4 linked regions of the Macaca fascicularis genome follow. Each later gene encodes a partner of the first gene's protein in a complex. Links are inferred from orthologs where the notes say so. Each region holds a gene or a part of one and is shown in the gene's direction. Other genes may lie near its edges. The genes, in order: CNOT9, CNOT6L, CNOT6 and CNOT2.

The links.
Region 2: CNOT9 (region 1) and CNOT6L share a complex: the UniProt entries of both Homo sapiens proteins name them as parts of the CCR4-NOT complex. The link is inferred for Macaca fascicularis from reciprocal best matches to the Homo sapiens genes CNOT9 and CNOT6L.
Region 3: CNOT9 (region 1) and CNOT6 share a complex: the UniProt entries of both Homo sapiens proteins name them as parts of the CCR4-NOT complex. The link is inferred for Macaca fascicularis from reciprocal best matches to the Homo sapiens genes CNOT9 and CNOT6.
Region 4: CNOT9 (region 1) and CNOT2 share a complex: the UniProt entries of both Homo sapiens proteins name them as parts of the CCR4-NOT complex. The link is inferred for Macaca fascicularis from reciprocal best matches to the Homo sapiens genes CNOT9 and CNOT2.

Annotation. Positions count from the first base shown.
Region 1 is NC_088386.1:114,517,564-114,525,620, forward strand, and holds part of CNOT9 (CCR4-NOT transcription complex subunit 9), read left to right. Parts: intron 1-1,134; exon of another isoform or gene 1,135-1,241; intron 1,242-4,178; coding exon 4,179-4,277; intron 4,278-4,491; coding exon 4,492-4,583; intron 4,584-5,744; coding exon of another isoform or gene 5,745-5,790; exon of another isoform or gene 5,791-6,329; coding exon 6,330-6,498; 3' UTR 6,499-8,057. UniProt on the Homo sapiens protein: Component of the CCR4-NOT complex which is one of the major cellular mRNA deadenylases and is linked to various cellular processes including bulk mRNA degradation, miRNA-mediated repression, translational repression during translational initiation and general transcription regulation.
Region 2 is NC_088379.1:56,140,812-56,148,196, forward strand, and holds the end of CNOT6L (CCR4-NOT transcription complex subunit 6-like), read left to right. Parts: intron 1-205; coding exon 206-433; intron 434-2,910; coding exon 2,911-3,113; intron 3,114-4,635; coding exon 4,636-4,914; 3' UTR 4,915-5,096; downstream 5,097-7,385. UniProt on the Homo sapiens protein: Has 3'-5' poly(A) exoribonuclease activity for synthetic poly(A) RNA substrate.
Region 3 is NC_088380.1:187,398,971-187,407,232, forward strand, and holds the start of CNOT6 (CCR4-NOT transcription complex subunit 6), read left to right. Parts: upstream 1-4,057; intron 4,058-4,327; coding exon of another isoform or gene 4,328-4,406; intron 4,407-4,516; 5' UTR 4,517-4,621; intron 4,622-8,262. Other genes in the region: uncharacterized protein, read right to left, coding at 2,898-4,057, 4,328-4,406. UniProt on the Homo sapiens protein: Poly(A) nuclease with 3'-5' RNase activity.
Region 4 is NC_088385.1:77,064,851-77,072,907, forward strand, and holds part of CNOT2 (CCR4-NOT transcription complex subunit 2), read left to right. Parts: intron 1-1,530; coding exon 1,531-1,656; intron 1,657-3,484; coding exon 3,485-3,609; intron 3,610-4,536; coding exon 4,537-4,657; intron 4,658-4,758; coding exon 4,759-4,915; intron 4,916-8,057. UniProt on the Homo sapiens protein: Component of the CCR4-NOT complex which is one of the major cellular mRNA deadenylases and is linked to various cellular processes including bulk mRNA degradation, miRNA-mediated repression, translational repression during translational initiation and general transcription regulation.

The DNA of each region.
Region 1 (8,057 bases):
CAGAATTCTTACCTCATTGTTCTGTCTCAGACCTCTATTGCCATAGTCCTTTTGTCTTCTAACGTTGAATATTGCAGAGAAGTCTCAGGGTCAGCCTAATTCTTTCCTTTTTTAGGTGAACTTACTTTTTTGCGCGGTTACCTGCAAGTGTCTTTTATTATTTTTAAAGTTCATTTGATAATCATGTATCTTTTTTCTTTTTCCTCTGAGACGGAGTCTCGCTGTGTCACCCAGGCTGGAGTGCAGTGATGTAATCTCAGCTCATTGCAACCTCCGCCTCCCAAGTTCAAGCGATTCTCCTGCCTCAGCCTCCCAAGTAGCTGGCACTACAGGCATATGCCACTACGCCCTGCTAATATTTGTATTTTTAGTAGATATGGGATTTCACCATATTAACCAGGCTGGTGTTGAACTCCTGACCTCAGGTGATCCGTCCACCTCAGCCTTCCAAAGTGCTGGGATTACAGTCGTGAGCCACTGCACCGGGCCAATTTGTTTTTGTTTTTGTTGTTGTTGTTGTTGTTGTTTGAGACAGAGTGATATAATCTCAACTCACTGCAACCTCCACCTCTCAGGTTCAAGCAGTTCTTCTGCCTCAGCCTCCCACATAGCTGGGACTACAGACACACACCACCACTCGGCTAATTTTTTTTTTTTTTTTTTTTTTTGTATTTTTAACAGAGATTGGGTTTCACCATGTTGGCCAGGCCGGTCTTGAACTCCTAACCTCAGATGATCCACCCATCTCAGCCTCCCAAAGTGCTGGGATTACAGGCGTGAGCCACTGCACCCAGCCTCAATTTTTTTCTGAAAGAGCATATTACTTGTGTCTTTTTTGTTAATTTGTATATTTTTCTCTTTTATTTGTTCAAGCCTCTTGGTTCAGCAACATGTTATGCTCTATTATCTGTCTTTCGTATTTTTTTCTCTAATCACTTTCAATTTTTAAATTTCATATTATTTGATTTTTTTTCAAGGTTTCTTTTCCATATTGCTGACTATTTTTGGTAGTATTCAACTTCTGCTCTAAAATGTGCCTTGTCACATTAAATTACTTTTTTAGTCTAATAAATATTCTTGAGTTGGGTGTAAGCGGATATAATGATTTTTTTGTTTTTTTTTACTTTTAAAAATATGTATATGGAATGCTTTATGAATTTGTGTATTATCTTCGCACAGGGGCCACACTAATCTTCTCTGTGTTGTTCCAATTTTAGTATATGTGCTGTCTAAGCGAGCACTGGTTTTTTAATTTTTAATTAAATTATTTATTCATTTTGAGACAGGATCTCTCTCTCTCTCTCTCTCTGTCACCCAGGCTGGAGTACAGAGGCATGGCTCACTGCAGCCTCGACCTCCCAGATTCAGTGATCCTCCCACCTCAGCTTCACAAGTAGCTGGGACCACATGCCTGCTCCACCACACTCAGCTAATTATTTTTATTTTTTGTAGAGACAAGGTCTCCCTGTGTTGCCTGGGCTACTCTTAAACACCTGGGCTCAAAGGATCTTCCTGCCTTTTGCCATAGTACTAGGAATACAAGCATGAGCCATTGTGCCTGGCCAATTTATTGTTTTTAAAGAGACGAGGTTTCACTATTTTGCCCAGACTGGAATGCAGTAGCTATTCACAGGCATGATCATGGCACACTATAGCCTTGAACTCCGGGACTCAAGCAGTCTTCCCACTTCCCTCTCTTGAGTAGGTAGCTGTGATACTGGCACACATCCCTATACCTGGCTATTTTTAAACTTTTTATTTTAAATATACAATATATGGATGACTCTCAAAGGCATTGCTGAACAAAAGAAGCCAGACACATGGGAATTCATACTGTATGTTGATTATGTGAAGTTCAAGAACAAGCAAAGCCAATTACTGGCAATAAGTTGGATTTGTGGTTATCTCTGAGGGAAGGACATTGACTGGGGAAAGGTACAAGGGAATGCTGGAATCATGAGTTGGTAGAAATACTTTTTTCTTTTTCTTTTCTTTTTTTTTTTTGAGATAGAGTCTCACTTTGTCACCCAGGCTGGAGTGAAGTGGAGTGATCTCAGCTCACTGCAACCTCCGCCTCCCGGGTTCAAGCAATTCTTGTGCCTCAGCCTCCTGAGTAGCTGGGACTAACAGGCACGCACCACCATACCCAGCTAATTTTTTGTATTTTTAGTAGAGATGGGGTTTCGCCATGTAGCCCATGCTAGCCTTGAACTCCTAAACTCAGGCAATCCGCCTGCCTCCACCTCCCAAATATTCTGTATTTTATACAATATTCTGTATTTTAATCTGGTTATAGTACATAATGTGTACATAGGTAAAAATTCAAGAAACACTTAAGATTAGTGTACTTAACACACTTTACTGTGTATATGTTTATATTAGGTTCCTATATAACCTGCTGCTGTAACAAATTACCACAAGCTAGAAGCTTAGTGGCTTAAAACAATGCAAGTTTACTGTTTTATAGTTTTGAAAGTCACAAGTTATAAATGAGTTTCACCATTCTAAAGTCATTGTATCAGGGGTCATGCTTTCTCTGGAGGATATAGAGGAGAGTCTTTTCTTTGCCTTTTCCAGCTTCTAGAACTGCATTTCTTGCATTCCCTGGATTATGGCCCCCTCCATCTTCAGAGCCAGTGGTGTGGCATGTTCAGATCTCTCTCTGCTTGTCACATTGCTTTCTCCTTTGTGGTAAAATCTCTCTACATCTCTCTCTCTCTCTTTTTTTTTTTTTTTTAAGAGATGGTGTTTTCTCTGTCGCCCAGACTGGAGTGCAGTGGCATGATCATAACTCACTGCATCCTTGAACTCCTGGCCTCAAGCAGTCCTCCCACCTTGGCCTCCCAAAGTGCTGAGATTACCAGCATGGGCCACTTTGCCTGGCCTTCTCTACGTCGATTTTAAGGACACTTCATGATTACATTTAAGGCCTACTTAGATAAACTGGGATAATCCCCCATCTCAAGATCCTTAAGTTAATCACATCTGCAAAGTCCCATTGTTCATTTAAGGTAACATTTGCAGAGTTTGGTGATTAGGGCCTGGATATCTTTGAGAGCCATTATTCAGCCTACTACAGTGTTATAACCTCAATAAAATAGTAAAATAATTCCACAATTCATTTTGATGAGCAGCTAAGAAAGAGTATCATTATCGTGATTGTCTGATTTGAATTAAACTAATGTAATATCTCTTCTATGTAAGACTTAATGAGCTTAAGTTGAGGGAAAAATTGAGGCCACGTATAAGCTTCACAGCCAGGATATGTTTTATTGCTGTTAGAATAATCTTCAAAGAGGAACTTTAAAATCTTACTTCTTCAAGATCTTTTAAGAACAAGAAAGGCCTTACCTTGGCCAAGTGCAGTGGCTTACGCCTGTAATCCCAGCACGTTGGTAGGCCGAGGCAGGTGGATCACAAGGTCAAGGGATTCAAGCCCAGCCCTGGCCAAGATGGTGAAACCCCGTCTCTACTAAAAGTACCAAAATTAACCAGGCACAGTGGCAAGAGCCTGTAATCCTAGCTACTCAGGAGGCTGAGGCAGGAGAATCAGTTGAACTAGGGTGGCAGAGGTTGCAGTGAGCTGAGATGGAGCCACTGCACTCCAGTTTGGGTGACAGAGTAAGACTCCATCTAGAAAAAAAAGAAAGGCCTTACTTCATCTGGAAGAGATGAGGCATAGCTAAATAAATCATCTTGGCTTATGGAAAAGAGAAGAGCCTTAGATATTCAAATGAGGCTTGGATCTCAGCTCTGCCACAGTAACTTTGTCACTTGGGACCTTAACCTGGTGTATTATTGATTAACAGTTATACCTGGCACATAGTAGGTACTCTATAAATGAGAAGGTCTCCTGATTTTTAAGAATTTGATTATTACGCAGAACCTACCCTTGTATGTAAAATGAGAATAATAATGGTACCTACCTCATTGATTTATTATAAAAATAAGATAAAGCATGTAAAGCCTCTAGAAAAAAACACTGGTACAAAGTAATGTTCAATATGATAATATTTATTATTCTTTGTACTATACATATATGATAAGTTGTACATAATACACAAGGATCCCTGCTTGCTCAATTTTCTGACTGATAGTCATGCTTGGGAAAATGAGTAGACAATGAGAAGATTAAATCTGAGCAACTTCATAAACTCTTCGATTTTGTTTTGCTTCAGGTTGCCACATTCATCCTCCAGAAGATCTTGTTAGATGACACTGGTTTGGCTTATATATGTCAGACGTATGAGCGTTTCTCCCATGTTGCCATGATCTTGGTGAGTTCTTTCATCTATCCCCTTTACAACTACGTCTCATCACACAGCTTAATCTCTTTATAACTGGCACTGAACAACTTCAGTCTTCTGACTAGAAATAACAATTTTGGAACCTTTTATGATTCTTGGACTATCTGATCTCTGATGTCAATTAGAATTTTTTTGTGTTTTGTGTGTTTTTTTCCAACCCCTCCCCTTATTTTGGGGGAAACAGGGTAAGATGGTCCTGCAGCTATCCAAAGAGCCTTCTGCCCGTCTGCTGAAGCATGTAGTGAGATGTTACCTTCGGCTTTCAGATAACCCCAGGTAAACACTGATAGGATGTATAGGACTTTAGGGAAATACTCTGCTGAACAGTTTCCCAATCTCATGGCATAGCTCCTGTGTCTTTAGGACAGGGAAGTAGGGATATAACTACATTTAATTTGTCTGAGACAGAACTTAAATTCCTTTTAAAATCTGAAATGCTGGCCAGGCGTGGTGGCTCACACCTGTAATCCCAGCACTTTGGGAGGCCGAGGCAGGCGGATCACAAGGTCAGGAGTTCGAGACCAGCCTGGCCAATATGGTGAAACCCCGTCTCTACTAAAAATACAAAAAAAAATTAGCCAGGAGTGGTGGCGGATGCCTGTAGTCCCAGCTACTCGGGAGGCTGAGGCAGGAGAATCGCTTGAAGCCGGGAGGCAAAGGTTATAGTGAGCTGAGATCGGGCCACTGCACTCTAGCTTGGGAGACAGAGCGAGACTCCGTCTCAAAAAAAAAAAAAAAAAAATCTGAAATGCTGAATTTTAATAGCCATCAGAGTTTCATCTTCTCACTGTAACTCTCAATCCTACTGTGAAATTCCAGAGAGTCTAGGCGATTCCAAGGGAAACCTTATAATGCATTACTCCTGTTGTTTGAATTTTCTGTTGCTACTCTATGTGGTCAGAAAGAGAAGTATATTTTCAGAGATCTCTTAAAAAGGAACACAGCCCAGAGGGCTCTTGAATTCTATTTCCAGTTCTCTCCTTGATTCCTATAAGTTTCTTGAGCTAATTATTTTATCTGCTTATGTTCATAATCTTTCTGCCAGAAATCATACATTGTAGATATAATGCATTTTAGAAATGTTTGACCTTTTGCTTTGTAAATCCATAATTCATGCTGAAAGCAACTTGCTCATATTCTGCTAAACCACATAATGGAGCGATTTCTGTGTTCTTGGGAGCAGAGCTAGCTTGATTTGATTTAATGTGAACTCGGTCTCCTGCCACTGAGTTTATTCAAGCCCTACCTGTTTGTTGACCATTTTATCCTGTTCTTCAGTGGTTCTTGTTTTCACCAAAGTTTAAAAATGTGTCTGTTTAAAATTCTAGTCTGTTTAAAAAACTAGTCAGACTAGTTTCTAAAGAAAACTAGTCTGAGTGCAAAACTATAACTTTGTTTAAAATAGCTCTATAAATAGTTAACATTTACCTTTTTTAGGTTTTCAGATTTGACTTTCTGCTGGTCATCTTTTCAAAGAAAATGAAACGTTTAAAAGTTCATCTGATAATGCTGCTACCATAGTTTTGTTTTCACTGCTCATCTCTTATTAAGGTTTTTAACCATAAAACTGAAGCAATTTCTGTAAAGACACAAATTGATAACTTAGTATAGAATTAAAATTCATTAAGTTATCATAATCTTGATTATATCCTTGTTAATGTACTGATTTTTGAAATATTTTATTTGCCATAATCCATATATTTCTAACATGAGTATTTTGACAGTATTTACTGTAATAAATCAGAAAGCTGTTTGAATGGAAGTAAACTATTGAAGCTTTTAATTTTGCTTTTTCATGAAATTCTACATTGGGGCATCATTCAGAAAATGTTTGTGGATACAGATTTTGGAGATCTGTGAGCCTATGCCTAATACAGCTTTAGAGAATTTTAATGGCGTCTTAAGGAGCCATAGATTCACGGTATACTAAATATTTATGTCTAAGAAGGGGGCTCTTCCCTGTCCACAAAATGTGGGTTTATTTGTTGGTCTCCCTGGTTGGTTTGTTTGTTTCTGATGTAGGGCACGTGAAGCACTCAGGCAGTGCCTCCCTGACCAGCTGAAAGACACAACCTTCGCCCAGGTGCTAAAAGATGACACCACCACGAAACGCTGGCTTGCACAACTGGTGAAGAACCTGCAAGAGGGCCAGGTCACCGATCCCAGGGGTATCCCCCTGCCCCCTCAGTGATCCTTCCCTGTTCCCTCCCACTACTCCCCCAAATTGGGGAAAGGAGGGGGAACCTATGAGAAAAACAGCTCAGGTTTTATCACCGACTGGGAATAGACAACCTCAATGCTGAACCATACTGGAGAAAAGGGGCAAGGTACCCCTGCTGAGGTGCATGGGCTGCCATCTCAGGCCGTCTTGAGGACCTGGGCTCCCTCTGCTACTCCCAGGAAATGGGCTCCTGACACAGCAGTCTGCCACCACAGCCCCAGGAGGGTGTCAACACCAGCAAATGCTGTATTTGCAGCATGTCCAAGATGACCCTTCTCCCCTACCTCTACCTAGCCACTGGCAGGGAGGGGAGACAGTGGTGATAGCAGCAGCACTCTAGGCATGGTGAACGCCTGGGACCAAGCCATGTGGCGTTTTTTATTTTGCCTTCCTGGAAGACTCAAGATGTGTCTCTTCATTCTCTCTCAGTATTTGTTTACTTTGGTTTTTTTGTTTTTAATCTCAGAGAGAGGTGTGTTTAGTGGGCACAAGCTGTAATATTCAGCAAAACTTTGTCAATTGGCACTGTTTACAAGTCTGTTAGCTGCATAAGCTCAATAAAAAGTTGGTCTGGGCATTACATCCCCTCTGGCAGGCCAATAGCTGCATCAAGCTGTTGGGAGAAATGGGAGGGCAGGGAAAAGATGTAAAGCCAAAGGACAGCAGGAACCTACCACCTGTTTCCCTTCTCCCATTCTACTTCCAGTCTGGAATGCCACAAGGACCTTAACCTTGTTTCTGGCTTTAGCTGCTAGTTTTCCCAAATCTCCGTGCTTTCCCTTTTTAAAACTTCCCTTCTATTAAAACAGATGTCTTAATTCATCAGGCTGTCTTGGAAGGGTATTGTATTGAGGGACAAGGGGCGGTGGTGGACCTCACATTCAATCCAAGTTTTCAAAGATACTTTCTCGATAACTCTAAAAGGGAGGTGCTTGGGATTAAGGTGACAATCCACTTGATCCTATTCTTTGTTTTAGTGTGAATTTCAGCAGCTCCATCTGTCTTCGTGATTATACTTGAGCAGTATTAGCCGTATGAGTTAATTTTATTCAAATTGAAGATGGTTGAAGATGGAGGGCTGGATTCTGCTCACTCAGTCTTTTTTTTTTTTTTTTTTTTTTTTTTTGACACATTCTCTTTTGGTCTATGGGAATACAGGGTTGCCGCTAAAATATTCACTTGTTCTTACCGTATCAGAGATTTCCTCTTCTCTGGAGCTTAGATGGCTCTTCACAATCCATAGGCTTGAATCTGCAGCCAAGTGTAAACTGCCTTGCTTTCCCCAGTCCTTTCCCCTGCTAGCACCTACTTTCTCATCCCCATCTCCAATCAAAGATGGGATTGCTTAATCCAACTCTGGAGAGGGACCAAGTCTTTTCTGCCCACATCTCACACAACTGAGGTGTCTGAACAAGTCTGGGGAGGGTCTATAAGGGGCAGGCTCAAAAAAAAAAAAAAAAAATTTGCGGAGGCAGTTTTGCCAACACAAGGGCTCCTTCAAGCCGACTTTCACAAAGAGAGCCGGACTT
Region 2 (7,385 bases), on another chromosome or scaffold:
CTAGGAGAGTAACTCCCGTAGTAGGATTACCAGAATCTCAGCCCTTTAGCTTCTAAGAATTACTTTATCAGATAAAAGGGAAGTTATAAATTCATGGAAAAGAGTAAAGAAGTAGCTGTGGATCATACTGAGAAAACATGAGGATGCCACATTTCTTCAGACATAAAGCATAACTGGGTCTTCTTTTTGTAATGTTTAAATTTAGGTATGAAGCCTATTCATGCTGCAGACAAACAGCTGCTTATAGTGGCAAATGCCCACATGCATTGGGACCCAGAGTATTCTGATGTGAAGCTTATCCAGACCATGATGTTTGTCTCAGAGGTTAAAAACATTCTGGAGAAAGCCTCTAGTAGGCCTGGCAGCCCAACTGCAGATCCTAATTCCATCCCGCTGGTGCTATGTGCAGATCTTAACTCATTGCCAGATTCAGGTATTTATAACATCATTTCCTCACTGCTTTCAATTTCATTTTTACTCTTGGGTTCAGAGGCCAGCTAGCTCCTAAATTTTGAATAGATAATTTCTCTTCTAAATTAGGGAATGTATCAGTAAGAATCCCATGGATGGGACACAGGGTAATAGAAAAGAGTTTAATAAAGAAGCTATTTCCAAAGGTGTTGGCTGGTTTAAGGGAAACAAAGCAATAAATGATGCAGTACTCTGCCCCTAGGGGATATAGTAATAGATCTCTTTACCACTCCTGTACCTAAAAGGGAAAGTAGTGGGAGCTGTCTGTCATCAGAACTTGGAAAAAATACAGTTGTAGGAAAGGGCCACATAATAGGAGTGATGGCTTTGAATTGCATGAAGCAGTCAATCCCTGGCAAACCAACAAGAAGGGTACCAGGGGAATATATATTCTTACCTCACTCTGCTTCTGTCCTCTGATCTCCTGCCAGGCTGCCCATTGATCAAATCCAACCAGAAGCTAGAGGGGGGAGGGATTTGCAGTTGATGCAATAAAGATCAGCTTCCTGAGGCACAGAGTGTACTGCAGAAGGGTGATCTGAAGGGGCAGCCAGAAAATATTCATTACAGGTAGCTATCTAGTTTAATAATGTTAGCAACTTTTAAGTGAATTCATTAAGTGATATTTGGATACTGTTAGTAGGTACAGAAGAATGATTAAAATTATCGTAGGACTTTATATTACTTCTTGAGCTCCTCTAAACTACTTTATGTCTGAACTTATATCATTTTACTTTTTATAAAAATAGTTTCTGCATTTTAGGTATCAAATAGAAAACATTAAACTATTACTCTTTTGCTAATACCAAAGCATATGTTAACTTTTGTATATTATCACTACTAGGCTATTTTAAGTTATTTAAGTAAGTAACAATAAGGTTACTATAAGATAACCTAAATGCCTCCATTTGGAATATTAAAAAAGTCACTGAACGTGAAAACATCTTTTTCTTCTTAGCAAATAATGCTGAAATCATTGTTAATAAATATCTGTCTTTAACCCCTAGCCTGATTGGCACTTTAACCACATGCTCCTTTCTTAATCCTTTCTTAAGTTGAATTATTCTCAAGTGCAAGTTTTTCTCCCATTGTATTTGATTTGTTAAAGCCAGTTAGCTGGCATTTGGCAATACAACGTAGTGAAATGTCTTTGGTGCCAGACTGTCATGGTTGGATCCTGATTCTGCTACTTATGAACTATGCAATCTGTGACTAAGTTCCTCATTTTTCCTTTTATTTTTTTGTTTTGAGACAGAGTTGCGCTCTTGTTGCCTAGGTTGGAGTGCAATGGTGCAGTCTCGACTTACTGCGACCTCTGCCTCCTGGGTTCAAGCGATTCTCCTGCCTCAGCCTCCCAGTAGCTGGGATTACTGATGCATGCCACCACGCCCAGCTAATTTTTATATTTTTAGTAGAGATAGGCTTTAACCATGTTGGCCAGGCTGGTCTCGAACTCCTGACCTCAGATGATCCGCCCACCTCGGCCTCTGAAAGTGTTGGGAGTTTACAGGCGTGAGCCACCGCACCCAGCCTAGTTCTTCATTTTTAACAAGGGGGGAATCATGTTATCTACTTCATAGAATTGTTTGTGAGATTTACATGAATAAAGCACTTAGAACAGTGCCTGGCATGTAGCAAATACTAGGTAAATAATAGTGCCTTCTGAGCTATTTACAATACTGATAATTGTGCTTATCACACATTCATTATATCTTACTATCAATCCTTATTACAAATAGAAGGATGACTCTAATAATGCACTAATCATAAGGGTTTTGATACTGTTTTCATGTTTGCTAATTCAGTGGAAGCAGTGCACTTTTCTGAATGCTATTCTTCTCTTCAGCCTTGTATTTTTAGCCAAGTGGTATATTTCTGGCATATAATATTCTTTATAGTGTCAGACTGAGAAAACTCACTGTAGCTCAAAATAAAGAATGATACTGTCTAGCTGACACTAGACATTGAAATGTTAAAGATGCAAAATCTGTTTTTGTTGTAAACGTTTTTTATTAATATGTTCTACTTATATATTTGCAGAGTTGTTGCTTAGAATGGGAAAATGCTAAAGAGATAGTGGTTTGGAATAATTTTCCGAAAACATTTAGGGTTAATGCCTTCCTGGTGAATGCCATCCTAGGTCCTGGAAATTTTTGGCCTGAAGAACCACCAAGAAAACTAAGGATATCTTTGAGTGTTCCTGATATATTTTGTTCTGAAATAGGCAAACATCCTTTGATTCAATTGATTGAATCGTATGAAATGGCTGGTATTTGATTTTTTATTTTTAAATAATGACAAAAGGCAGTTTTATATGGTTCAATCTAAGAAAACCATTCTGAGCCTGGTGGATTAACCTGGTAACAAGTCTTGGCTGTGAAGCCTTGTGTAAGGTCTGAATGCTAAATGGGAGTGTCTCTTTTTTCTTTATTCTACCAGGTGTTGTGGAATACTTAAGCAATGGAGGAGTAGCTGACAACCATAAAGACTTCAAGGAACTAAGGTACAATGAGTGTCTTATGAACTTCAGCTGCAATGGAAAGAATGGAAGCTCAGAAGGGAGAATCACACATGGCTTCCAACTTAAGAGCGCCTATGAAAATAACTTGATGCCTTACACCAATTACACCTTTGATTTCAAAGTGAGTGGCAGCCTTTGGGCAGGTGTAGAAATTATTTCAGATACAAGCATGTAACAAAAAGGTGTAAATTCTTTATGATTAATTGTATAATCTTCAGGAATTTTTAGATTCTTAAAATGTCTAGGCTAAGTATGCACCTAGATATAAGTAGGTTCATTGGGTTTTGTGGCTATTGTCTTAAATTCTTCTTGCTCTCTCGTTTGTTTAGATTTTAAATAATATAATAACAAAAACTTTGAAATGCTCACTAGGTACGAGGCACTTGTCAAAGCACTTTGTATATATCAATATAGTTAACCCTCACCTGCTCAAACCATCCCTAACTTTCAGCAGTAACCTCCCTCCTGCCCCCGACAGAAAAGCACTGAATATAGCAAAACTCACTTTGAATGAATTTATGTAGTATTTTCTCAAGATTTTCTTTCTACCTTCCATTGATGTCTTAGTATCTTTAAATTTTCAGATTTCTTTTGGGAATGGGGTTAGAGAAGGTTGTACTTTGGTTCTATTTTATATCCATGTATTTGTACTAATATATTCCTAGGCAGTGGAACACTCTGAAAGAAAAAGACATTTTTTTGACAAATACACACAAAAAAATGGAAAGGCCGATTGTACAGGACCAGCTCTTCTTTAGAAAGACAGATTGTGGTGGCTTTATGTAATCTCTTTTCCAGTGCTAGTTTTCTGATCACTCTGTGTACCTGTGACTCTGCTATTGTACCTCTCTTTGACTTTCTGGCATTTCAGGCATCTATAGTAGAATCTTACACTATCTGGAAAAATCCAAGTGTTAGAAAGCAGTTTGGTATAAGAAGCCTAGCAGGAATTTAATAAAATGCCAAAGGAAATTTACAAATGGACTCCCTTACATCTCCAATAACCTTTTTCTGTTTTTGTGTGGGTTAGCTCCTTTCCAAGAAACAAATAGGAGGAGGAAGAAAAGGAATTCATGTGTTGTTACTAATCAGCTTTCATAATCATGAAGTGGAAAAAAAAGTGCTTAGAAATTGAATCTAATTTAGTATTTTTGCTATTAGAAAAGATAATTCAATCCAGCGATAGTTCATTTTGGCCCAGCCACTCATATGTAGTTATGTGCTGGTAAACATTTAATAATGAGCTTTTTGGGAAAAAGCTCTGATTTGTGGTGTTTGCCGATTTCTGTGGTTTAAGTACTTCTACTGTAGCAGAATCCAGTCTCCCAACACGATACCATTGAACACAGAGTTAGGAAGAGGTGCTAGAAAAGCTAGTACTAGCTGACTCTAGCACATCATTGCTTTTATGTAAGCTTAAAGGAACACCTTTTAATGGTACACAGTTTACCACAGCTTAAATCCTATCCTTGTAACTATAGTGATATATATCTGCCAGCGTAACCCAGAAAACCTGTGATAAAGTTCCTGAAAATAAGTGTTTAGTAATTCTGCAACTATCATTATTATTTAGGTATGTGTATAGGTAAAAAGAAAAATTTTTTTTTCTTTTTCACATAGACTTTTTTTTTTTTTTGAGATAGGGTCTCAGTTTGTCGCCCAGGCTGGAGTGCAGTGGCAGGATCTTTGCTCACTGCAGCCTCAAACTTCTGTGCTCAAGACATCCTCCTACCTCTGCCTCCCAGGTAGCTGGGACTACAGGTACACACCACCACGCCCGGCTAATTTTTTGTATTTTTAGTAGAGACAAGGTTTTGCAATGTTGCCCATGCTGGTCTCAAACTCTTGGGTTCAAGCCATCTGCCTACCTCAGCCTCCCAAAGTGCTGGGATTACAGGTATGAGCCACCGCACCCAGCCTAGACTTTTTTTGTTTTGAGACAGGATCTCGCTCTGTCACCTAGAGTGGCACAATCATGACTCACTGCAGCTTCACCCTCCTGGGCTTAGGCAATCCTCCCACCTCAGCCTCTTGAGTAGCTGGGACTACAGGTATGTGCCACCATGCCTGGCTAAGTTTTGTATTTTTGAGGGCTTTTTATTTTGGTAGAGACAGGGTTTCGCCATGTTGCCCAGGCTGGTCTTGGGGTAATTTTTGTAATTTGAGGGTTTTTTGGTTTTGGTAGAGACAGGGTTTCACCATGTTGCCCAGGCTGGTCTTGAACTCCTGGGCTCAAGCAATCTGTCCACCTCAGCTTCCCAAAGTACTGGGATTATAGGTGTGAGCCACTGTGCCCGGCCTAGACTTTTTAAAAGCTTATTTCTTCCTTGTCTGTAAATAAAAAAATCTGAGAAACACAATTTGGGACATTAATCTACCTTCCTTAGTCATCTGAATTGGTTTAAATTATTTATCGACAGTCCTTCAAAAGATCTTGTGTTAATAACTGAATAAAAAATCCTATTGAGCCATTTACGTTGTTCAAATAAGTACAGCTAAAGAACTAGAAATGTCTGGCTCAGAGAGTGTTTGATGTTTGGATGTATAAGAGAATCAGAGAGAAGGATAAAGGTGGGAGAGAGTAATATATGGGAAGATAAATAGGCTGGCTGGATAGATAGATGGGATGAGAGGATAGAATAGTATTTGAAGGAAAGATGGCTAGAGACTAAACTAAGGGCACACATGAGTAGAGAGAATTGAGCTCTTAGTCCAACAGAAAATGAACTTTTCAGTTTTATACATATATTTTGTAATGCTATCCCAATATTGAAATCTATCAGTAAAAGAAGATAGGTAACATCAAATGTAAAATACCTTGTGATCAGCATCGAATACAGATCCATTTGTATTAGTGAGGAGCCATTGTATCAGAGAGGTGTTAAATTTTGTTTCTTGGCTTAGTATTTGTTTACTTTCTTGGTCCTTGAACAAAATAGAAATGTAGAAAAGAGGTATTTAGAGCTCAGATTCATTTAATTGCAAACTGATTTGGAATGAACTGAAGAGTAAACAATTAGAAGAATTACTCCTTTTTCAACATTACTTTCAGACCAGGTAAGTTTAATAAACAGCTTAATTCAAACCTGCTGCTGATCCTCACCCCATGCTTATCCTCTAATCTGAGGGTGTGCCTGAATCATTTAATAAAAGGAAGGGCAGCTTTTATTTTATAGCAAATAGTAAACTTTTCTGTTACATTATGAAATTGGTATTGTAATTTTCTGGCATTCTTTTAAAAAACAAAGCTTAGCATAATGGTAACTCAGACTATTAATATTTTCGTTGTGTTTTGACTTTTTTCCAAATACAGTTCTATAGACTTATACAATAATAGTCCTTACTAATATAAAGAGTGCATTTTCCCACATTATTAGTATTATATCTTTTAAAAAAGAAACTGACTCAAAAGGGTTAAAAATCATTAGTCTGTAACCTCCTTTGTGCCTATGATCAAAGTTAGGGATCCTTCTCATAGGTGTATATGTACAAATACGTTGGGTGAATTCAGACATAACCTGGCTAAGGGTTTTGGTAAGAGTTTTTACTCCGGATATTTCAAACCAAGAGAATGATTACAAGTGATGCGTTCAATTAAAAACATCTTACTTCCTGGAGTGTTTAACATTTTTTTCTTGGGGCCTACCTTTGCAAAGAATTCTAGCAGTTGATGTGCATGATGGCACTCTAATAAGGTTGTAAGATATAGGAGGCTTTGTTGCCCAGGCTGGAGTGCAGTGGTGTATTCTCAGTTAACTGCAACCTCTGCCTCCCAGGTTCAAGCAATTCTTTTGCCTTGACCTCCCTAGGAGCTGGGACGACAGGTGCATGCCCCCAGACCCAGCTATTTTTTTTGTATTTTTAGTAGAGATGGGGTTTTACCATGTTGGGCAGGCTGGTAATGAACTCCTGGCCTCAAGTGAGCTGCCCGCCTCGGCCTCTGAAAGTGCTGGGATTACAGGAATCAGGCATGAGCCACTGTGCCTGGCCTTATAGGTTTTATTCCACATAAGTAATTGAGATTATTTCATGTGTTTTATTTTAGAATTGAAGCAAAAAGTTGTCTCATAAGGAGAAATAAAATTACCCTGATCCTTGTTAACTCATTTTCTGAAATATCACTGTAAAACTGTAAAACTAGGCATATAACCAAAATGAAGGGATAATACCTTATGATCCTATCATTTTTTGACCATTTAAACTTGGAGTCCCCTGGACTCATGTAAGTTCCTTAATTTGTGGTAAAGTAGGGTTGGATAAGGGCTTCTTTTCTTTTATTATTATTATTTTTTAAGAGACAGAGTCTTGTTGTCAGCCAGGTTGGAAAGCAGTGGGACAATTATAAGTAGCCTCAAACTCCTGGACTCAAGTGAGCCTCCTGCCTCAGCCTCCC
Region 3 (8,262 bases), on another chromosome or scaffold:
TTTGGCCATTAGGAAAGAAGCACCTTCTCTAAGTGGAGAAGCTGGTAGAATCTAAGCCTGCAGGTGTTGGTGGCATCTTTCCCACCTGTGTGAGGCCAGCAGAGAGGAGAGTAGGGTGGAAGGTAGGAGGTGAGATTGATTCTTGATGCCACCTTACAATGCTTGAATGGGTCCGCATTCCCTCTTTCAATTCAATTCCCTCTTTCTTGCAAAGAAATACTGAGTTGTGAGTTTTATAACTTGCAACGGGAGGTCTGGCCTAACGTGAGCGGCACTTTGATCTGGATCTGAAAGGTGAGTAGGTGTTTTCCGGGGGTTCTCTTTAGATATGCAGAAAGAACAGGGCACGCACAGCAGAGCCACTATTGTACCCTCCTGGCGGTAGCAAGTCTCCCCAGAGGGCTCCAATAAGTCCACCCCACCCTGTATGTGTGCGCAGCTCCTCTACAGCTTATGTCCTCTCCTCTTGAATCTGGCTTGGGCTTGTGCCTGCTTTAATTAATAGAATATTGAGGAAGTGGCCTTCTTCAGAAGGCCTGGCGGCTTTGCTTTCCTCTTGGAGCCCCTGGTTGCCATGTAAGAAGTGCAGGATCACCTCCGGCTGGAGAGAGGGGCCACACACAAAGGCTGAAGGATGAGACACTGCAGAGGGAGGCCTCGTTAGGGGGCACCAAGGTGCCAGATATTCAACACCCAGCTGCCACCTTTGGCAGAGGCATGCGGCCCCAAGGGCGAGCATCAGAATCACGAGATACAGTAAAACTGTTGCTTTATGCTACCAAGATTTTGTGCAACGAGACCTCCCCACCTCCGTACGATCCTGCCAGTCACGAGGGGATTGCTACCTCTGGGTTTTGTTTGTTTTTTGAGACAGTCTCGCTCTGCCGCCCAGGCTGGAGTGCCATGGCGCAACCTTAGCTCACTGCAACCTCTGCCTCCTGGATTCAAGCAATTCTCACGCCTCAGCCTCCCAAGTAGCTGGGATTACAGGCGCCCGCCACCATACCCAGCTGATTTTTTTTGGGTATTTTTAGTAGAGATGGGGTTTTGCCACGTTGGCCAGGCTGGTCTCGAACTCCTGGCTTCAAGTGATCTGCCTGCCTCAGCCTCCCAAAGTGCTGGGATTACAGGCGCGAGTCCTTGCACCGGGCTGAGAGTAGCTGCCTCTGGCCATACAAATTACAAAAAGGCACCCAGGCTAGAGCACAGATGGCCAGGGCACTCACACAGGGAGGAGAGGCCTTGCAGGGTGTCTGTGCCACTGGCCTCTCAGCCTGGGATGCTCTGTACAACACAGGCTGCACGACTCCCTGCCTGGGGCGGAAGGAGGTTGTGCAGGGATGGCCACAGGCAGCCTGCTGGTCGGTCTGCATGTGTTCTTCCTGACTCCTGGGCTTTTGCACTGCCATCGTTGCCCAGTGTCCTATGGCCCTAGAGGCCTGGGCTGTCACTACTGATGCCATGGCAGTGCTAAGCAATGACCATCCCAAGGCCATGCTGGGGAGAGGGAGATCATCTTGATCTCTGAACAGCTTTTCCCTCATCCTTTCCTTGCCCTTCCAGCCAGGTCTCCTCCACCCCAGGCAACAGCAACCCATTTCCCACATCCCCAGCTCTCAACAGCCTTCAGTGACGCAGAAGCCTTGGTTTGCTGCTACGGTTGGTTCCTGGAACCTGTCTCACTCCCATTTCTTCAGGGTTGATTTTCCAGGAAGCAGTTAGCAGCCCATCCTACTTTGCCACATAGGTGGGCAGGCAGCTATTCCTTTTCCTTGACGCCATACCCTTCAGCATATACTTCGAATTTTTTTTTTTTGAGATAAGAGTTTCGCTCTTGTTGCCCAGGCCTGAGTGCCATGGTGTGATCTCGGCTCACCACAACCTTTGCCTCCCAGGTTCAAGCGACTCTCCTGCCTCAGCCTCCCCAGTAGCTGGGATTACAGGTGCCCGCCACCACACCTGGCTAATTTTTTGTATTTTCAGTAGGGAGGGGGTTTTGCCATGTTGGTCAGACTGTTTTCAAACTCCCGACCTCAGCTGATCTGCCCCCCTCGGCCTGTGCTGGGATTACAGGAGTGAACCACCGCGCCAGACCAATATACCTCCAGTAATTAAGTCTGTTGAGTGTTCTTCTTGCCCCTAGACTGTGAGCTTACTCAGGGCTGGGTGGGGTCTGATTCATCTCTGTGCCCTGACCATCAGTCAACTAATATTTCCTGATGTAAGCATCATGAATCAGCCCAATCATTTCTCTGCTCACCTTCAACCACCAGAGTCTGCCCCGAACACCTTTCGATCTTGGCGCACAGCAGCTGTTGTCCGTTACTCAGGCTAGGAGCCCAGCACCACACTGTCCATTAATGTACTGGAATGAATTACCATTCATGGACTGAAACGGTATGTTAACTTACTCTTTTTCTGCGTCATTGAGGAAGGAATAACATTCGCCTGCTCACGACTGATTGTCTTGTCTTTAGGCAGATCAAGATACTGGCTCCGGGCAAATACCTGTGTTTCGACGTGAATGACAGGCGAAGGCTTAAGGAAAAGGAAAAGGAGAAAAAAAGGGGAGGAGGATCAAGGAAGAGGGAAGAGAAGAGATAAAAGCGGACAACCCGGCCGGGCGCGGTGGCTCACGCCTGTAATCCCTGCATCTGGGAGGCCGAGGCGGGCGGATCACGAGGTCAGGAGATCGAGACCATCCTGGCTAACACGGTGAAACCCCGTCTCTACTAAAAATACAAAAAAAAATTAGCCGGGCGAGGTGGCAGCGCCTGTAGTCCCAGCTACTCGGGAGGCTGAGGCAGGAGAATGGCGTGAACCCGGGAGGCGGAGCTTGCAGTGAGCCGAGATCGCGCCCCTGCACTGCAGCCTGGGCAACAGAGCGAGACTCCGTCTCAAAAAAAAAAAAAAAAAAAAAAAAAAAAAAAAGGGGACCACCCGAGGCAGAAAAAGAAGTAGATGAAAAATGGAGGAGCGCTACAGAGAGGAGAAAACAGAAGTGCCAAGGCAGGAACGGAGCGGGGAGAGCGGGAACAGAAGGAGACCAAGGATGGACGGAAAGAGGACGGGGGAGGCCGGGAGCAGGGCCCGCAGCGCGCCGGGCCGGACCACCGTTCCTCAGCGCGGGGGTGAGGGGCGGGGCCTAGGCCGAGGCGGGCCGCAGCGACCCCCGCGCCGAAGGCCGGATGGTTGCGCCCAGCGACGGCGGCCAATGAGCGGCCGGGATGTTGGCGTGCCGGCGGCGGTCCGGGCGCTCGCTGGCTGAGGGACGGCGCCCGCCGCCATGATGCTTGTTTGCTTTCAATGAAAACGAGGGGGGCGCGGAGGAGGAGGCGTCGGCGTCGGTGTCGGCGGCGTCGGCGGCGCGGAGGCGAAGGCAGCGGCGGGCGCAGCGAGGCGGGCGAGGCCGGGGGCCGAGAGGGCGGGAGGGCGTAGTGGCGGCCCGCCGGGGCGGCTGAGGCGGGCGGCTGAAGCGGCGGCTCTCGGAGGGGGAACAAAGAGCAGCGACTGAGGCGGAGAGGAGCGGCGGCGGCGGCGGCGCTGCAGCAGCGGGCGGGACTGGTATGGTGGTTCCACAGGTCAGACCCCGCTGCGCTCACAGGGAGGAGGCGGCGGCAGCGGCGGAGGAAGGCGGCGCACCCCGAGAGGTGAGCGAGGCAGGCCCGAGGCCCGGCCGGGGCGCCGCTTCTCTCTGCGGCCGCGCACGGACCGCCCCGTCGGCCGGCCTCGGTCGCGGCAACTTGAGTTTCGTGGGCGGCGGGCTCGCCGCTCCCCGGCTGGCGGCTGTGGGGGGCCCTCGACGCGCCGCGATCCCGCCCCGCCCCGGGCCGCGCCCCCGAGCCGAGTCCCTGCCGGGGGGCGTTGATTGACGGCGGCGGGCGGAGGGGAGGGGAGGGGCCGGCGCCGGGCTCTGGGGTCCCGGCCGGTCCCGGCTGCCGTCGCCGGAGGAGCGAGTCCGTGGTCCCGGGACTCGGGGCCAAGACGGTGGCAACTTCGGAGGAGCGGCTCGGTGGGTGGTTCGCGTGTGGAACTTCGCACTCCGCGGCCGCAGTTACTGTCGAGCGGGAAACCCGCTGCTTACCCCCCCTAAAATGTTCTTAAAATGCAGTTTAACGCAGATTTTTGGGGGAGAGGACGGGGTGGATTACAGGTTAAAGAAGCACTTAGCATGCAGTGAAGAGATTTGTTTTATAGTATTGCTAAGGACTCGGAGATCGCGCTGGTTTCTAGAAGCAGTTTTCTCTGGGAACCCAAATTGCACCCCTCCTTTTTGTTTTTCAACACTAATCGTTATTTTCTTTGGAAACTTCCTTTGACTCTTTACCTCCTTCGCCTTCCGCGAGGAGCCTGCTAACCAACACCTGTAGCCTTCTGTTTTTAACTGTTACTGCCATTGACAACATCGTGAATGGTCATCTCGCTTGACCTTCTTGGATTTGTTGTTACTGTGTTAAGCTGATGTGTTTTAGATAATCTGCTTGAATTTGAGTTCCCATACTTACCTGTTTTCCAGGTGGATTGTCTCATTGTTAGTGCTGAATCTTCTTGCCTACTTGTATCTGGGAATTTAACTTTGAAGAGGAAGAGAGTGAATGTGAATAACTGAAAAAATAAAATAGTGTGTAGTAGCACTTTGTATTTTTTTACAATATACTAGACTTTCCCACTCCAGAACAGATTTGTAGGCTGTAGGAGTAGATGTGGGCCATTGATCAAAAGGGTGGCTTTTTTGGATAATTGCTGTTAAGACATTTATCACAGTCTTTAATTTATTTATTGTTTTTGAGACAGGATCTCACTCTGTCACCCAGGCTGGAGTGCAATGGCACAGTTCTTGGCTCACTGCAGCCTTTGCCTCCTGGGTTCAAGCGATCCTTCTGCCTCACCCTCCTGACTAGCTGGGACTACCGGCAGACACCACCACGGCTGATTTCTAAAGTTTTTGTAGAGTCTTGATTTGTTGCCCAGGCAGGTCTCCAACTCCAGAACTCAAGCGATCTTCCTTCCTTGGCCTCCCAAAGTGCTGCAATTACAGGCATGAGCCAACATGCCTGGCCATCACAGTCTTTAGAATGTTGTGACTTTTAGAGTAAAATTAGAATAAAAATGGCTTAATATCTTTAGATCTGTGATCTACTCCAGGTGTTTTGTTTTAAACAAAATATTTGAACAGCTGCTAATGAGAAAACAGACCTAGAAAGGTGGAGGTGACTTGCCCATGATACTGTAATTACGAGGGGAAGCACTGGGTTTGTGTGCATGTGAGAGCACACGAGTGTGTGACCTCATTGCTAGAGGTTTGTTCTTTTGGGAGGGTAGAGGGTATTTTAATGGTTAGAAGTTATTTCAGGTCACTTCTCAGTAGGTGAACGAGATGCTTAATGAAATGGTCAAAAAAGATTATGTAATTGCCAAGCATGATGGCTCACCATGTAATCCCAGCACTTTGGGAGGCTGAGGAAGGAGGATGGCTTGAGCCCAGGTGTTTGAGACCAGCAAGACCCTGTCTCAGAAAAATATGAAGTATTTAAAGCCTGTGATAACTGTCACAACGTAGTGAGACCCTGTCTTGATCAGTTTTTAAAAATGGTGACAAAAGACATAGATATTCTTGTGAGACTGACGATTTTCTCTGAAAGCCAATCATTAATTTCCATAGTGTCTTGATAGTGGTGATGCAGCCTAGGCAGCTCCTTTTGAATATGCCTGTTCAATTTGTAGGTATTTTCAGGTTTCTTAAATGTTGTTGGCAAAGTAAAACTACAATTATTGGGAAATTTCAAACTGTTTTCTTTTGAGCAGACATAAGGTTGGTTTATAGAATTTGGTCCTAACTACAAATGTGTAAAGGCATTGTAGGAATTTGCCCACTGTACCTGTAGTTTAAAAGTATGCATTTTATGCCAGGTGCGGTGACTCACACCTGTAATCCCAGCACTTTCGGAGGCCGAGATGGGTGTATCACCTGAGGTCAGGAGTTCGAGACCAGCCTGGCCAATACGGTGAAACCCTGTCTCTACTAAAAATACAAAATTAGCCAGGTGTGGTGGCGCATGCCTGTAATCCCAGCTATTCAGTAGGCTGAGGCAGGAGAATTGCTTGAACCCGGGAGGCAGAGATTGCCACTGCACTCCACCCTGGGTGACAAGAGTGAAACTCAGTCTCAAAAAAAAAAAAAAAATGCATTTTGGTTAATGCTTAGACATTCCAGTACCCATATTTGCCTTCTTATATTCTTTAAAGCATAAACCTTTTTCGTGGTGCAACAGAAAAGGATAATATATGTAAGACATACTGAAATAAATGTTAAGGCAGCTCACAGCTATATTCGTTGGGCCATTAGGGGTGAGGGATCAATATGTTCAGCACATTTAGAACCCATTCCCATATGTAAGTAAGGTCCACTGGTTTGGGAAGCTCTGCTTTAAAGCATTTATCACTTTGGAAAAGTCCTAATAGGCTCAGCTAAAAATGTATGTTTTACTGGGAAAACCAGAGTTGGATTTGTAGATATCTTTATACCCATTACTCAAGGTAGTCATTTTACAACAAAGTGTGATTAATAAAACACTATGTATCTGAAATTAAGAATGGCTGAGGCTGGGTGTGGTGGCTCATGCCTTTAATCCCAGCACTTTGGGGAGGCCAAGACAGGCGGATCACCTGAGGTTAGGAGTTCAAGACTAGCCTGACCAACATGGAGAAACCCTATCTCTACTAAAAATACAAAATTAGCTGGGCGTGGTGGCACATGCCTGTGATCCCAGCTACTCGGGAGGCTGAGGCAGGAGAATTGCTTGAACATGAGAGGCAGAGCCGAGAGCACACCATTGCACTCCAACCTGGGCAAAAAGAGTGAAACTCCGTCTCAAAAAAAAAAAAAAAATTGTGAATAAACTGTAAACATATACTGTATGCATAGCTGGGGTGCATTAGAGTATAATGGAATGTACTGTATTTTGGTACTTGAATAAGTAGCGAGGTTGGGGGTTATTTGATCCAAGATGGGGACTCATTTAGGCTGTCTTCACTTTACCCTTCTCTGGTCTTTATCTCTCCTTCGTCCATTTATATTTTCTTGGTAACTTAAGTTACACGTTAAGGTATGTACTGGTCACAGTGTTTGTTGTTGTTGTTGTTGTTGTTGAGACGGAGTCTCGCTCTGTCGCCCAGGCTGGAGTGCAGTGGCGCCACCTCCACTCACTGCAAACTCCGCCTCCCAGGTTCAAGCCATTCTCCTGCCTCAGCCTCCCGTATAGCTGGGACTACAGGCGCCCGCCACCGCAACCGGCTAATTTTTCTATTTGTTTAGTAGAGACGGGGTTTCACCGTGTTAGCCAGGATGGTCTCGATCTCCTGACCTTGTGATCCGCCCGTCTCGGCCTCCCAAAGTGCTGGGATTACAGGCGTGAGCCACCGCGCCCAGCCAGTCACAGTGTTTTAACACTGAGAATTCAAAGACAAATAATACTCTGATTTTGCCCTCTCATAGCGTATAGGCTTAATAGGTGCACAGAGTGCTGTGGGAGAACGCAATAGAGAATGATTAAACTTGCGGAGGGTGTGGGGGCAGTTTACGAAAAATAACACTGAATAGGATTTGCCAAACTGGGGAGAGGGAGTCGTGTTAAACAGAAGAAACTGTGGGTACACTGAGGTGTCAAGTGTTAGGGTAAGACTAGTGATAAGGTGTTATTGGAACAGTGGGCATGACTCGAGATGAGCCTGCAAAGGTGTGTCTGGTCTAGATTTTGAAGGACCATGCTTGCTAAGCTAAAAGTGAAGTTTCTACCTGTATCTTACAGCAGAAGAGAGAGCCAAAATATTTTTAGCAGGGGAGCAAGGTGATTTAGAGATCACTTTGGCATCCCTGTGGAGAATAGAGTGGAAGCCGTACAAGTATATATTTGAGGTATTATGGAGTTAGTGACTTTGGATCTATTTTTTCTTTTGGTTTTTCTTTCTTTTTTTTTTTTTTGAGATGAAGGCTCTCTCTGTCACCCAGGCTGGAGTGCAGTGGCATGATCTCGGCCCACTGCAACCTCCGCCTCCTGGGTTCAAGCCATTCTCTTGCCTCAGCCTCCCGAGTAGGTGGGATTACAGGCTCCTGCCACCATGCTGACTAATTTTTTTGTATTTTTAGTAAAGACAGGGTTTCACCATGTTGGCCAGGCTGGTTTCAAACTCCTGACCTCAAGTGATCTGCCCGCCTTGGCCTCCCAAAGTGCTAGGATTACAGGCGTGAGCCACCGTGCTCGG
Region 4 (8,057 bases), on another chromosome or scaffold:
TAGTTGTAGTTTTTTTTTCCTAAATGTGACGTAAAGTAACAAGTAAAGATGTCTGACAGTGCCATCTTAGATTCTGCATTATGGTTTTATACAGTGCTGTAAAACGAGAATTATTTTTTAAATTCTGTTTTAACTAAGCGTATTTTATGCTAGGAAAATGCCCAGTTCTTTCCTAAAAATATAGATTGGGGGTTGATTAACTTTTTTAGGTTAAAACATAGTCTCAAATAATATATGGCAAATTTAAATTCCATCTTGGAGGACCTAAAGATATGTATTAAAAGTTAATATATATTCAAAATGTATAATTAACTTATAATCAAAGAATTTGAGAAATTATAAATTGAAGCAGGATAGAAATTCTTAATTTCTATTGTCTTAATGATAATTTTTTAATTCGAAGTTCTTAAACTGCAGAAATAAATTTATAAACTGCAGTTTTTGTAAACAGCAGGTATGAATGATTTATCGTTTACCCTTGTAATTTGAAATTGTCACCTGTCTTTGAATGTTAATAAATTAATGGTGTCTGTTGTTTTTCTGTCAACGAAGTAATCTTGAGATAACATTTGCTGTTTGAGATTCTTACAATTGTGAAATTTGGAGAAAACTAAAAATTAATTGGGAAATGGCAAAATAAACTGAAAATGGTGAAACAAAAATTAAAGAAAAGCTATAGCGCAGGCTAAAAGGAAGGTAGAAAGTTTTCTTCAAAAATTAAGAACACAAGGTTATAAGAATACTAAAAAGTTAAGAAATTGAGATGATTAAAATAGACAAAGTAGAGAAGTTGGGTTAAATTTTAATTTTTAAAGGAAGCCAGCTGATTGTTTTAACTTAAAATGAACAAAAATACATTTAATTTATTCTATATATATTTATTGAGCGCCTACTGTGTAATAGGTAATATAAACTTCTGGGCTTTGTATCATATTTCTATATTTCCAACCCATTTACCATATATGGGAACCCTACTGCTACCCTTTTGTACCGCACCCGTGTGCACACACATTTGTATATGAACGCAGTCAATTACAGGTGGAAGTCCTCAGGGCTTCTGCGTCACTGCCTGTGTCTCAGCTATCTTTCTGGCCATTTGCAGGAGGCACTATCATTGTCACCATTTGTGTGTAACCGAAGCTTCAAGCATTCTAGATACAACCTCCATCTGAGCATAATGAAAAGACCAGTTATATCATAACAGTCTCCCTCTTGTTAGCTCACACACTATAATTTTAGGTTACCATCTTCCACGGGGGAAATATATGCTTTTTCTTCTCTTTGTTATATCTCTAGGATTTGGGGGTTTTTATTATGCTGGTTGCGTATTGCTTTGCTAAATTGTTCATGAAATTCTTTGACATGAAATCAATCTGCAAGTATCTTTTGAGCAGCTACATACACCTTGTACAGTGCTGTGCATTATTTAGGAAGAAAGCACAATCATTTCTAATTATATTATAGTTGGTTTTTATAGTCTCTTAAAAATATTTGTAGAATCAGTAACCAGTGTTCGTTCTTATTATTTAGACGGAAGTGAAAATGTGACAGGATTGGACCTTTCAGATTTCCCAGCATTAGCAGACCGAAACAGAAGGGAAGGAAGTGGTAACCCAACTCCATTAATAAACCCCTTGGCTGGAAGAGCTCCTTATGGTAATTAAGCTTTTTCATGATGACCAGTGGGAAGTTTCCATTGTATGTGCACACACACATGCATTTACATGTACATATACATATGTTTGTGTATACGTATATGTTTGCATTTTCTAATCAGGTTAGTGTAATTTTTTCAGAATTGATATATTAAAAGTGATTTTTCTTCCCAGAATACCATGGTAGCAAAGTTAAATGGGAAAACTTTGTACAAAAACCCAAGAGGAAGTCCTCATTGGTATTCAGAAGTTATTTTCTTCTGTTATCCCTGCCTTAGTTTACCTTAGGTGATTTATTTTTGTGGTCTGCCTTTTCTCTCCTTAATTGATCACACATTTTTTCAAAAGAATATATTCCTGGTGATTAATAATGACTGACTATACATTGAAGATGTTTTTCTGAGCCAAGGTTTCTCAACCTCCACACTGTTGACATTTGGGCCAGGTAATTCTTTGTAGAGAGGAGATCTGGGGGGCTGTGGTGTTTATATAGAATGCTAAGCAACATTCCTGGCCTTGGCCTACAAGATGCCAGTAGCACTCTCTGTTTCCAACCCCCACAGCCTCTATTGTGACAGACACAAATGTTTTCAGACATTGGCAGATGTCACCTGGGGAAAAAAAATTGTCCCCTGTTGAAAACCATTGCTCATGGGTCATGTATAGCTTATGCAGACTCTTGGTCTCCATTAATATCCTTCATCACCCTTTTTCACTGTCTCTAATAGATAAGAGATTTGGCTAATCAGGGATAAACAGAAATAAAGGAGGGGAAACATATGCAATAACAGTGTAACAATTTGGGCATGAAAATTCTGTGACAGCAATGTGGCTATACTGTTTTTATCACATAGTTTTTTTCTTTTGGGAAAACCTGATAGAGACCAGTAACAAAACGGTGAATTTAAAAGAATCAGTTCATCCATTATTTTAAGATAGAATTAATATTTGATCACATTTTCAACCAAGAAAGATTTCTGTGCCATTCAGATATGAATACAAATAACAGTATATGAAGAAGGGAAAAATGTATTGTTTATATTCTAAAGTTTCCAAATTAGTCTCCCCAAAATTAAAAGAAAAAATGATCTGCCCTGGAAGTTGAGTACCTAGCTACTTGATTCTCAGTTCAGACTCTAATGTTTTTAACCTTTCCTCATAGGTCCATTTTTTCATCCCTTTAATCATTCCCGTTGCTCTCCTTGGACCATCTCTAGTTTCTCCATATCGTTCTTGAATTGTGGAGCCCCAAACTGGATATTGTTCTCCAATAAGGGCCCGACTAATGCCAAGTATAGTGGGAGGATTATTTCCCAGTTCTTGCATGTTTTACATCTATAACATGGAGTCCAAGAAAATCTGAAATAATATGGAGTTGTTTTATAATTGATTGCAATTTGCTCACTCTGTAAGTCGCTTTCAAGTAGAATACTGACATATTCTTTTAAATTTTATTTTGTTCATTTGTATTTGACAGTTAACTGGTATTTATATCTAGTCAAATATTTAAATAAAACAAGCTTTTAAACCAAAATTGTTAATAATTAATCCAATATCAAATTAAATTTTTAAGCACCTACGCATGACAGTAGATGTACAGGATTACTATTGATTTCCCTTGTATTATTTTGTATGTTGAGTTATTAATCAGTAAATGAAAATTTAGTTCTTCATTGTTACCCTGGATACTAATTTTTTGAAGTACGCTTTCATAGCATTAAAAAAAAGAAAACTTTTGGTGTATTATCATGAGGAAAGTTAACTTTATAATCTGTAGCAAAATATCATAAGTATCAATTGCAATTCTCCGGATTATTTTCATTACATAGTTGGAATGGTAACAAAACCAGCAAATGAACAATCCCAGGACTTCTCAATACACAATGAAGATTTTCCAGCATTACCAGGCTCCAGCTATAAAGATCCAACATCAAGTAATGATGACAGTAAATCTGTAAGTAACTGAGAACTATGTGAGTGAGTGATGTAGTTTTTCCCTTCAGATTTCTCTTATATTAACAGTTACTTACTAAATACTGTTACAAAACTGTTTTATCTTGATATCTGTAATAATCTAACTTCTGAAGAATGTGGAAAAGCTTTATAACTTAGAAGATAGCCTATTTTTTTCCTATTTCATATAGGTTTGCAAATTTCTGTTGAACTTCTCAGAGTTAATTTAGACTTTTATTGTAGTCCCTGTCAGCTGGATCCCATGAAGTTTGATAATATAGCCTTCTAAGGAGCTGTGTTTTTCTTGAGTAAGTTTTCTCCTTGAAGAATTTATACACATTTTTATACCTGTGTTGATTCAGCCAACTCAGCTTCTTCTTTCTGACTTAACAAATATGTTTATTTCTTCCACATTTCACTGAAAATAGCTTTTCTGTGTGTGTGATGGGAGTTTATATATTATTAAAATAATTGATAAAGAAGATTGGTAAGAATTAGAATAAGTACAAAGTTTTAAAGCTTATATGTTCTAACTTATCTTGGAGGTAGCTTTGGTGATTTTAGGTAATATACTGTATTTAGTTTCTCTTTTACATGAAAGCATTGAGGAGTGTAACTTCAAGTGTATCCCAAAGCATAAAGACCTGAGAAAGAGATAGATTTTTTTTTTCTGTGACTGAAGATCTGAGATAAATAAGAATATTTTCCCTTGATTTCTTTTTCTTTAAATACTCAAATGTGGATGATATAGGATTTATTTGTATACCATGGAACAATGATGGAAACAATTTTCTATAGAACTTGAAAAACAGGTAATAATTTACTACCAATTTAAATATAATAAAGAATGAATAGCAAGGTATTAATATGTGAACTTTTTTGTATACTTAACAAATTTTAATGTCACATTTAATTTTTTTCATGCTAGAATTTGAATACATCTGGCAAGACAACTTCAAGTACAGATGGACCCAAATTCCCTGGAGATAAAAGTTCAACAACACAAAATAATAACCAGCAGAAAAAAGGGATCCAGGTGTTACCTGATGGTGGGACTCTAGAAATCTATGTCAAAGATGTTATAGAATGCTTTTTTTTTTTTTTTTAACTTTTCCTTGAAAATAAAAGCAACTGTGTTTTTTCTACCCAGGTCGGGTTACTAACATTCCTCAAGGGATGGTGACGGACCAATTTGGAATGATTGGCCTGTTAACATTTATCAGGGCAGCAGAGACAGACCCAGGAATGGTACATCTTGCATTAGGAAGTGACTTAACAACATTAGGCCTCAATCTGAACTCTCCTGAGTAAGTTTTTTCTGTTTTTTCATGTCTGTATATAATACCTCTTCAGACTTCCAGTTTTTAATATCATGTCATCAAATTGTCTCACCTACTGCTACTCATTGTAATCTGTTTTTTCTCTGGGTCATTCGCTTGCATATTAGCTCTTAGATCACTGGCACTCTGCAGTATTCCTTTTATAATTTGGCATTTTATATGTCTGTGTGTGTGCATGTGTGTGCATGTGCAAGTATGTATATGTGTGTGTGTATGTATGTGTATATATATACACACACCTTCCACAATCCTGAAATCTCAGCTCCTTGAATTTCTTTCCTCCAGGAATTTTTGTCCTGTAGTATACTTCAGCCACTCCTTTAGTTATCCCTTTGACCTAGTCATTGTTAGTAACTGCAGTCTCTCAATTTTAAAATCTGTGCTCACATGCTTTCCGATTTCCACTTTCTATTTTCTAGTTATCTTCTTCTGGTACTGTAATTCCTGTAATCATTTCACTCCACCGGGGCCTTCAATCTATTGATTCTTCTGTGTTTTAACTGTTCTTCCATATCCCTGTCTCTCTTCCTCTGTAATCAACTCCCTTCTTACCCATGAAATTCTGTGGTCAGTCGTAATTGTTCATTTACATATCCCGTGACTACTTTGCCGTTTTCTCATGTTGTTATACTTGCATGGCCAAAGCTACAGTACTGGTTGTTTCTGCCTATTTCATTCCTGACCTGTGCTACTGAGCCCTGCTAGAGAAAAACACATGGTATCACTGCCTGGGCTTCCTTTATTTTCGTACCCAGGAACCTCAAAAGTAGGCTCTTAATTCTACCAGGGATAATTATACCTTGCATGCTTAGTCCATTTACTCTTTTCTCTCTTACGCAATTACATACACTTCTGCACACCCCTAATACCTTTTCTCCTTGTTCTTACTATCAAATGATGACCTTGCTTTTTACTTTTACTGTCCTAAGAAAGTTGGAAGCAATTAGAAGAGCACATTTAGCACAATCTAGCCACCAAATCTGACTACCTACAGCCATCTACATCTACGTTATTCTTGTCTTCCACCCTATTACTGCAATTGACCCATGCGTTCTACTTAACAACAGATTTTCACACTTTGTTGGGTCATTTTCATCAACATAGAAATACATTGTTACTTCTCTCATCTTAAAATCTTCCTTTGATCCAATCTCCTCTGTAAGTTACTTTCCCATTTCTTTGTTTCCCTTTGAAGCAAAACTTTTCAAAGAATCATCTCAATTCCTCCAACTTGGTCTTCTCCATTCTCTGGTAAGCCCATTTCAGTCAGGATTTTGTCCCTGCCACTTCACTAAAGCTGCTTTTATTCAGGTCACCAAATGACCTCTATGTTATTAAATTCAGTGATCACTTGGAGGAACTCTTGCTCCTTAATACACATTCTCATCCTTGAATTTGAGAGCACCATTTTTTACATCATCCTCACTGGTTGGTCTTTTTCAATTTCCTTTGCTGGTACCTCCTCCTTTTCTTCTTGACCTCTTTGTGTCATTCCTCTTCTCTGCATTTAGATCCTTGATGGTCTTTTCTAGTCTTATTGTTTTAAATACCATATATATTAAGGAATCCCAAACATATGTTTCCATTCCATACTTCTGAGTGTGAGATTTCTACATTCAATTGCTAATTAAATATTTCTTGAATTATCACCCCCCAACTTACTCTGTCTACAGCCTTTCCAATCTCAGTCAGTGGTAACTCTGTACTTCCAGAAGCTTGACATTATTCTTAACTCCTCTTTCTTTTATACCCCATAATCAGGCTTTTGCCAAAATATATACAGAATCTGACCAAAGTTCACTACTTTTTAACTGCTACCACCCTTGTTTGAATCATTCTCTCTTGCCTGAATACTCCATTAGCCAGTCCCTGGGGGTCCCTGATTGTCCTTATCCCCCTTCTCATACAATCTCTTCATATAACAGCCAAGAGAGTCCTTTTTAAATAAATTACTCCTCTGCTCAACACCCAGAAAGAGTTTGTGGTTTCATTATGATTAAAAACCCCAAATCTTTTTTTTTTTTTTTTTGAGACAGGGTCTTGCTCTTGTTGCCCAGGCTGGAGTGCAGTGATTCTATCTTGGCTTACTACAACCTCTGCCTCCCAGGTCCAAGCGATTCTCCTGCCTCAGCCTCCTGAGTAGCTGGGATTACAGGCATGTGCCACCATGCCCAGTTAATTTCTGTATTTTTAGTAGAGACAGGGTTTCACCATGTTGGCTAGGCTGGTCTCAAATTCCTCACTTCAAGTGATCTGCCCATCTTGGCCTTCCAAAGTGTTGGAATTAAGGTGTGAGCCACTGCACCTGACCAGAAACCCCAAATCTTTACAGGCCTACAAGGTCTTACATGATTGTTGTTTGTCCCCTAACCCCACCTCAACAGCTTTTCCCTTTGTTCACTGTATTCCAGCTTCGCTGGCCACCTTGTATCTCAGACATGTCAGTCATGTCCCTGCCTTAGTTGCTTTAGCAGTTCCCTCAGACTAGAAGAGTCTTCTGCCAGATAATTAATATGATTATCTCCCTCATAGCCTTCAAATCTTCAGATCTGACCACCTTAATGAAACCTAATTGACCACCCTATTTAATAATTATCTGTCCAGTCTCCCCTCCCAGTTCCCTCTAACATGGGCCGTTGTTTATTTATTATGTTAATTGATTTTTGTTTGCCTCCCTCCAATCCACCATTCCTCAACCAGAAAGTAAGTTTCATGTTGTCAGTGATCTTGTTTTGTTCACTGACGTGTCATAAGCTCCTGGAACAGTGCCAGGCATATAATAGGCACTCAGTAAATATTTGATGAATTTAAACTTTTACAAATAGTTACTCATTTTTCTTCTTGCCACATAAATAAGTGGGAAAGTAATTTAAATTGGGAGCATGGTATCAAAGAATTTAAAGCATCTTGAGTTGAAGTCAAGTAAAAGTAGAAAATTTTTAATCATATGTTTTGTATATTGTGATATGTTGTGTTATTTATACTGTGTTGCAAGAATACTGAGGGAAGGAGTCTTATCATATTTTACACACACACACACACCTCCCCCCCACACACACACACACGCATTCTTCGTCTGCTTCTGTATAAGTCGGTAAACCCAAGTAAG